Cricetulus griseus: one gene and its partner. The protein of the gene in region 1 interacts with the protein of each later gene in a pairwise test. Links are inferred from orthologs where the notes say so. Each region holds a gene or a part of one and is shown on either strand. Other genes may lie near its edges.

Region 1 (3,727 bases):
GCCGCCCGCCCCGCCGAGGCCGCAGTTGGGCTCCGCCAGGGTCAGGTCCCATGGAGGGGGCGTGGGCGCGGCGGGTCTCCGGCGCCAGCCTGTTGAGAGACGCTCGGGTGGCTCCCAGGGCCCAGGAGAGCGTAAGTCTCCCGCCGCGGGCACCCTGGACCCAGGCCTGGGGCTTTCCGCGCCCCGAGAGCCGCCCGCCCGGGAAAATCCCGGCCCCTTCCCGGCGCCGCGGCCCTGCCGGGCAGAGCTGGGGGAGGGGATTCCCGGAATCTGCCCGGAGACCGTGCTGGCGTCACTGAGCAGAATAGGCCCATATATGGGCATCGCTTCCGGCGCGTCAGCGGGGAAAGCCCCGACGCGCTGGGCTGGGCGGGGCTGCTTACACATTCCGCGTTTGGTCCCGGGCGGCTTCTTCCCGGCTGTGGCCCGCCTGCCCCGCGTCGGGTGCCGGGGCGCGGCGTGAGAGGTCTGCGTGCTTGCACTGGACCTTAAGTCACCTGAAAGGAGGGAGCTACGAAAGCGGACGACTGGGGGCATCCCGTTCTTCTCCCTCCACCCGCCCGGCTTGGAAGAAAAAAAAAGACCACAGAAATTAATAAAGACAATTTTTTTTACTTAAATAGATTCAATAAAAAGTCAAACACACACACACACACAAACACATCTTAAAATAGACTCTAGACACGAAGTGCGTGTTTCTTCTCCACAGTCCTGTGCAGAGGGGGAGGGCAGGGGGCGGAGGTCCCTCCCTAGTGTCCCGGCAGGCTGAGTACCAGGCGGCGGGGCCAGCTCCGCCGCGATAGCGTAGCCCCCTTCTCCCTCCCTGTTAAATACACAAATATATTATATTCAATATGAATCCGGTCTCTTCCCAGAAAAAAAAAAAAAACATACAAAATACGCTGGAAGGGGGGGCCATGTAAACGTCGAGGTGGAAGGACTGGGCGCAGGCGAGCGAGCCAGAGTCCAGTGTGTGCGCGGCGCTCCAGACCTCCGGGCCGGTGCCCATCGCCCGCCCCCCTCACCCCAGGGGGGGGCGGGCGTCCAGCCTTCCCGGCCGGGGTGTCCGTGCGGGGCGAGCGAGGGAGGCGCTCAGAAGGCGTGTCCTTTGACCCCCAGCAGCAGCTGGCAGCCGTTGCTGACGTGGGTCATGACCTTCTGCTTGAGCTGGGCCACTTGCTCCCGGAGAAGGCCGGCAGTACTCGACAGCCCCGCATTCTCAGCCTTGAGCGTCTTCACCTTGTCCTCCAGGCGCGCGATGCGCTCCAGCTTCCGCTTCCGGCATTTGGTGGCCGCCAGCCTGTTCCGCAGCCGCTTTCGCTCCACTTTGATGCGCTCCTGGTCTTCCATGTTGATAGGGGACACCGGCGGGGTGGCGTCGCGGCTGCGTGCCTCTGGTACGGTCTGCGGTTCCTCCTTAAAGGCGGAGGCGCCGCGACCCAAGCCCAGCTGTGCCGGGTGGCCGCCCGCAAAGGGTGGTGCGTGTGGGAGGTAGCTGATGGTGGCCGTCGGGTACGAGCTCCCAGTCCCGACGGCGGCCCCGGCGCCCCCAGAGGGTGCGGAGGCTGGGGAGTAACTGCTGAGGTTGGTATAGACGGGGGGCGGCTCTGGACCTGCGTAGACGCCCCCTGGCCCGGCCTGGGGACCCCCGCTGGCGCCCAGGGACACGTTGGGGGGCGTCACGTGGTTCATCTTGTGCAGGTCGTCCAGGGCTTTGACAAAGCCGTCCGCGAAGCCCTCCTGCTCCTCGGTGACGCCGCCCCCTGTGCCTCCACTGCTGCCACCCCCACGGGGGTAAAAGTACTGTCCCGGAGGCGTGGGCGTCGTCGTGATCACGCCGTTGCTGTTGGGGACGATCAAACGCTCCAGTTCCGTGGAGGCGAGCTTCAGAGACGCGCCTGTGTCTGATCCCTGACCCGAAAAGTAGCTGCCTGCTGCCCCGCTGCCCTCTGGGCCCGGGCCGCGCGCTCCCGGGCCCTTGAGACCCCGGTAGGGATCCGTCAGGTTGAGTGCCAAGGTGGGTTTCAGGAGTTTGTAGTCGTGGAGAGACAGGCTGCCAGGGGTCCGACCGTATCCCGCCGCTGCGTATGAGTCGTCGTGATAGAAAGGCTGTTCCATTTTCGTGCACATCCGGGCGGTCTGGGAAAGGTCCCCCTGAAGGGCCGCCCCAGGCCTCGCTGCTGCGAGCGGCGAGCTGTCCTCGGCTGCGGCGGGACCCGGTGTCCGGTCGCGCGTCCTCGGGAACTGGAGACCGCCGGCGGCGGCCGGTTGGCAGCTGTGCGTAAAAGCGTTGCCGGGCTTCCAGACCTCGTCTCTGCCTCTGTGGTGCGCCCGCTTTCTCGGCGTCGCTTCCTTCAGTTCCCCGCTGCCTGCAGGATCCAAAACCGGCCCGGCCACCCTCAAGGTCCCCACCGCGCTGCCCCAGCCCCAAGCTTTTATACCGAGTTTGTCAGCTGCGGAAGTGCGCTCTGATTGGCCAACGCGGGAACCGGGCCCCCGCGGCCCCCTCCTAGAGCGTGGGGAAGGGGAGGAGGCGGCTCGCGTCACTGTCAGGAAGCGCGTGTCCTTGTAAACAGCGGCCACGAGCCGGGTGGCTCTGCGCGGCTGCAGGGGGAGGGGCTGCAGCGATGGAGACGCCGAAGCAAAGGGATGTGGAGGGGCTGAGGCACACGGGTTAGGACTGCGGGAGTACACCTCGGTGACTATGAGAGCTTGGCACAGCAAGCAGGGAAGGGGGCGCCGCGGGATAAGCCGGAGAAGTCTCGAGAGACCCAGAGTGCCTGTAGCTGAGAACTGACAATATGCTAGAAGACCCCAAGCAAGCAGGAAAGGGAGGATCGGGAGGGATCTGTTAACATTTGACCCGGGGATTGACTGGAGGTCCCAGATACAAAGGGCTTGAAAGACTGGAATTGTCACAGGTTGGAGGAAGGGGCGCCTGTTGTGCAAGAACAGTAGGGTTCTAGAGGCCGTTGATGAGTCTGAGGGTTCTCCTATAGGCGGAAATGAGAAGGAAATGCGGGGAGGGCGACGTAGATATGCAAAGGTGAGAAAGGGTCCTGGGTGCACTGAGGTAATACAAGAGGTGGAGGATGGGAACATGTCACTGTGGCCACCTGAAGAATTCGGATGTAGAGTTAGAAAGGTCAGGGCACAGCTTCCGAGCTTTGAGATCTGCTGGGGAGGATGATCCCAGAGACAAGGGACCTGTACGAATGGGGCTGTACCTCGTGGGTGGTCCTTAGGCACCTGCATACCCTGTACTCCAAGCCCAAAGTCCTCCCTTAGTCACTCTGGGCTCACCCGATACCCTGTCAGCTCTTGGAGAGCCGACGGGGCAGGATAGCTGGGGCGCGGTCGCCCAACCTCACTCCCTTCCTTAGAAACAGACTAGGGAAAGAGAGCCGAGGCAGGAAGTGTGGCAACAGCCCCGAGGGGAAAAGAGCCCGGCCCTGTCTCGTCATTCTGAGCCTACAGGACGGTGCACCCTGCCCTGGGCCCTGCCAAATTCTGCTCCTGGGAAGAGGAACCGGGGCAAGCGACCCCCGAGGAAGTCACAGCCCAGCTACAAACGCCTCGAGTCACTCTCTGCTCTCACCCATCTAGTAATGGTTCAGCCTGCAGCCTCCGACGACTACTAAGCCTGGCAGCCCGAGGACTGTTCCATTGACCCTGGGGGGGGGAGATGCAGCCTGAGAACCGGGCCTCATCACCAAGGCAACAGGCC
Region 2 (4,293 bases), about 110 Mb from region 1:
AATTGCAGTGCTCTTTTATTGTTATTTATTAAGAGACACTGCCTCTTATAGCCCAGGCTAGCCTCCAATTCTTCGTGTAGCTATAAATGGGCTTGAACTTCTTATTCTTTTATCTCCATTTCCCAAATGCTGGTATTATAGGCATCTACCAGTAGCACCTTAAAAACAAAACAAAACAAAACTTGGACATAAGGATTCTTTTTTGGGTGGGGCTGGGGGGGTTCGAGACAGGGTTTTTCTGTGGCTGTCTTGGAACTAGCTCTTGTAGACCAGGCTAGTTGGATTCTTTTAAATTTTTTATTTTGGGGCCTAGAGATGGCTCAGTTGTTAAAAGCACTGGCTGTTTTTCCAGAGGACCCAGACCCAATTCCCAACACCTACTTGGCTGCTCACAACTATCTGAAACTCCAGATCCAGGGGAACCAATGCCCTCTTATGACCTCTGAGTTCACTGGGCACACATATTGTGAACAGACATACACAAAGACAAAACATTCATACACATAAACATAAAATTTAAAATTTCTTCATCATCTTTTTTTTTTTTTTTTCTGAGACAGTTTCTCTGTGTATCCTGGATGTCTTGGAACTCACTCTGTAGATCAGGCTGGTCCGAAACCCAGAGATTTGCCTGCCTCTGCCTCCCAAGTCCTAGGATTAAAGGCGTATGACTCAACTACCTGGCCATCATCATCATTATCGAGACAGGGTCTTAATTGTTTAGCACTGACTGCCCTAGGCCTTGGAGCCTCTAACTCAGAGACACCCTCCTGGCCCCACTTCTGAGCACTGGAATTTGAAGGTGTGAACCACCATGCCAGCCCTGACTGTTTATTTTTGCAGTCATGCCTGCTGCATTGGTCACAGAGAGTTTGGAGTGGTTACATTGTCTAGGTTCTTTTGTCAAGCTTGGGAACTTTTACTATGTCCGCAGGTTAGCCTCAAACTCCTGGGTGATCCTCCTGCCTCTGCTTCTGTAGTACAAGCACCAAACCAACCACACCCAGCCCCAAGTCTGGGAATTTGTTCCATCCTACCATGTCCTTTATAGATGAAGAAACTAAAGTTCAGAGAAGAGAAGATGAGTCACCTTCTCAAAGCTGCATACTCCAGTGTGGACTGTGAACCTGGGCTCCCCAAGTGATTACAGGGCCTCTTACACACACACACACACACACACACACACACACACACACACACACCCTTCTCCTCCAGGTTCTATCCCTGGCAGCCTGGCAGCTCTCCCAGAATACTGTCTTGTTGTTCCTCCTGTTTGCCCTCCACCAGCCTTCTTCCAGAGAAGGGGCCTCCGGAAGGCAGCTCATGTAAGGAAGTTCCAGCCACGTGAGCAAGCAAGAGCCAAGGATTCTGGGCAGCCGATGGCTTTAGGAGAAACTGAAACTGGGTGTGCTGGGGGCGGGAGTGGTCACTGGGGATTTAAAGAGCCACCACTTCCTTGAGCCTCCAGAGGGCACTGGGAGGGCAAAGCTGCTGAGGGGACACACAGGACCGGATTGAACCTCTGCTCCCCCTGCCTAAGCCATGCAGCTCTGTGGGAGTGGTGCGCTGCTGACTGGGACAGTGAGTACAGGGGACTAGGAAGGAAGCGGAGAAATTGGCCAAGGGTCCCAGGGCCCAGACGAGGGAGGATGCAGTAAGGAGCTCCAGTCCCAGCTCCACACCATGTCTGTGTGACCTGGGACTGGGCTCCACACTGCCATCTCTGGGTTTAGTTCCTTCTGGGGATGGGAATGAAGCCTACCCAGCTCTCACACTGCAGACCAGCCTCCAGCTTTGAACATGGATCCTGCAGACCTGCTCTCTCCTGTTCCAGCTGCTCTCACCTTGCTGCTGCATTTTCCAGATCCTTGCCTTCTCTCCGCAGTCTCTCAAAATGCAGCTTTCTTCTTTTCTCTCTGACTCTTTCCCCAGCCTTAGTACTCTGGGGTTGAATTTGCCCTGAGGGAGATACAGCCACTGGGAATCCACAAACCTGAAGAGTCCTCAGCCAGGGTGGCTGGGGTCTTACCTGAGGTAGGGTGACAGAGGCAGGGTCCAGCTCTGGGTATTTGGCCTCAGGTTCCCTTTAATTTTCATGGTTCCTATGGTTGGAAGTTTCAGCACTATCAGCTGAAAGTCCCCTTTTCTGTCAGACAGACTCTCCATTCATTGGTTCTAGGCAGCCACCCCTTTTCAGTGTGAACATTATTTATTTTTAGTTTATGTGCACTGGGTTTTGCTTGATGTATGTCTGTGTGAGAGTGTCAGATCTTGGAGTTACAGACAGTTGTGAGCTACCATATGGGTACTGGGAACTGAACCGTGGTCCTCTGGAAGAATGCTCTTAGCCACTGAGCCATCTCTCCAGCCCCTTTTAAGCTAAGCAAATACTCCCCACTAAGTTACATTCCTACTTTATTGTTTGTTTCAGAAAAGATCTCATTCTGGCCTCACTATGTAGCCAAGCCTGGCCTTGACCTAATCCTTCTGTTGGGATTATAGGTAGGCACTACCATGTTTGGCCATTTTGCCTGGTTTTTGTTGTTGTTGTTGTTGTTTTCCTCCCACTTCTGTGTCCTCCTAGCTTAGTGCCTGGTACATAGTAGGTACTTAAAAAATATCAGTTGAAATGATGTGGGGATGGCTTAGTCAATGAAGCACTTTCCTTGTAAGTCTGAAGACCAGTGTTTGATCCATTAAAAAGTCTGGTGGGGTGTCAAGCACTGGGGAAGGAGACACAGGCAGATCTCTGTGTGATGACCAGGCAGTCTAGCATTAGTGGTGAGCCCCAGGTCAGTGAGAGACTCTGCCTCAAAAGATAAGATGGGTGCTGGAGAGATGGCTCATCAGTTAGGGAGCACCTACTACTACTCTTAGAGAGGACCTGAGTTTGTTGGTTCCCGGAACCTACATGGGACAGCTCACAAACAAACCATCTGTAACTCCAGCTTCGGGGGATTTAACAGCCTCTTCTGGCCTCCAAGGTGCCTATAATCACAGGCACATATATGTCACCACACACACATATACACATGATTTTAAAAATTAAAATAAGATTGATTGCTTCTGAGCATAATATATATATATATATATATATATATATATATATATATATATATATATGAAAACAGGCATATTCTATAAGTGTTAGCACATGCCTGTAATCCTAGCACTTTGTACTTGGAGGCAGGAGGTTTAGAAGGCTCAAGGCCAGCCTCTGCGCCACATAGTGAGTTCCAGGCCAGCCTGGGCTATTTTGTCTTTCTGGGCTCTATACACATGTACACCAGGTCCACACACACTAAAAAATAAATGTTCTTTGAGTATGTTAATACCAGCACTTTAGGACTGAGGTGGGCATGAGGACATGGAACTGTATCAGGTTCTGACCCCATTTTTGTGGAGCTCTGGGCTAGGAAGATCAACCCTCTGGTGTGTTCACTCTCTGTGGACGGTTGGGGAAGCACCATGGGCCTCTGTTTTACTGTTGAGATTATTGTACTCAGAAAAGTCAATTGCTGGCTTTTGAGCATGTGTGTTTGAGGTTGCTAGCTATGTTCTGAGTTTGAATCTCAGCCTCCCAATTTATATAAAGCTGTGAGTTGGACACTGGATTGGGTTGGATTTACAGTAAGGAGTACAGTGTCTTCAGGGGGGCTGTGGTACCAAGGGAGGAAACATTTTGGGAGAACAGGGATTGTAAGGACTGGACTTGAGAAAGACAGCTTTCCAAATGGCTGATCATGTCAGAGGGGGCAAACCACTGCCAGGACCCCACAACCCTCTGCTTCATGCCTCATAGGACCCTGAGGAATGTCAGAAGCAGCTGAAGAAGAAGCAGAAGAACCGACTGGCTGCCCAGCGCAGCCGGCAGAAGCACACCAACAAGGCAGATGCCCTGCACCAGGTAGGGTAGGGATGCCCTCTTTTGGTTCAAAAGACTGAGTGACTTACAGAGAAAAGAGCTCTCTTTTTAAAAAAAGTTTATCTTATTTGTTTGTGGTGGTTGTTGTTTTTGTTTTGTTTGAGACAGGGTTTCTCTGTGTAGCCCTGAAACTTGCTCTGCAGACCAGGCTGGCCTCAAATTCACAGAGATCTGCCTGCCTCTGGCTCCCAAGTGTTGGGATTAAAGGTGTGTGTCACCACTACCTAACTGAAAGTTTGTTTTATTTTATATGTATGGGAATGGGTATTTTGTCTGTATATATGTCTGTGCAGAACATGTGTGCCATGTTCTGGAGGGCAGAAGAAGGGAGCAGATCCCCTGGGACTAGAGTTACAGATGGTTATGAA

What was found.
Region 2: the proteins of Junb (region 1) and Batf2 interact in binary tests that used the Homo sapiens proteins (3 or more experiments, as listed by UniProt). The link is inferred for Cricetulus griseus from reciprocal best matches to the Homo sapiens genes JUNB and BATF2.

What each region holds. Positions count from the first base shown.
Region 1 is NC_048596.1:159,386,238-159,389,964, reverse strand, and holds Junb (transcription factor jun-B), read right to left. Parts: upstream 2,430-3,727; 5' UTR 2,131-2,429; coding exon 1,093-2,130; 3' UTR 593-1,092; downstream 1-592. UniProt on the Homo sapiens protein: Transcription factor involved in regulating gene activity following the primary growth factor response. Binds to the DNA sequence 5'-TGA[GC]TCA-3'.
Region 2 is NC_048596.1:53,179,973-53,184,265, reverse strand, and holds the start of Batf2 (basic leucine zipper transcriptional factor ATF-like 2), read left to right. Parts: upstream 1-1,404; 5' UTR 1,405-1,542; coding exon 1,543-1,581; intron 1,582-3,802; coding exon 3,803-3,907; intron 3,908-4,293.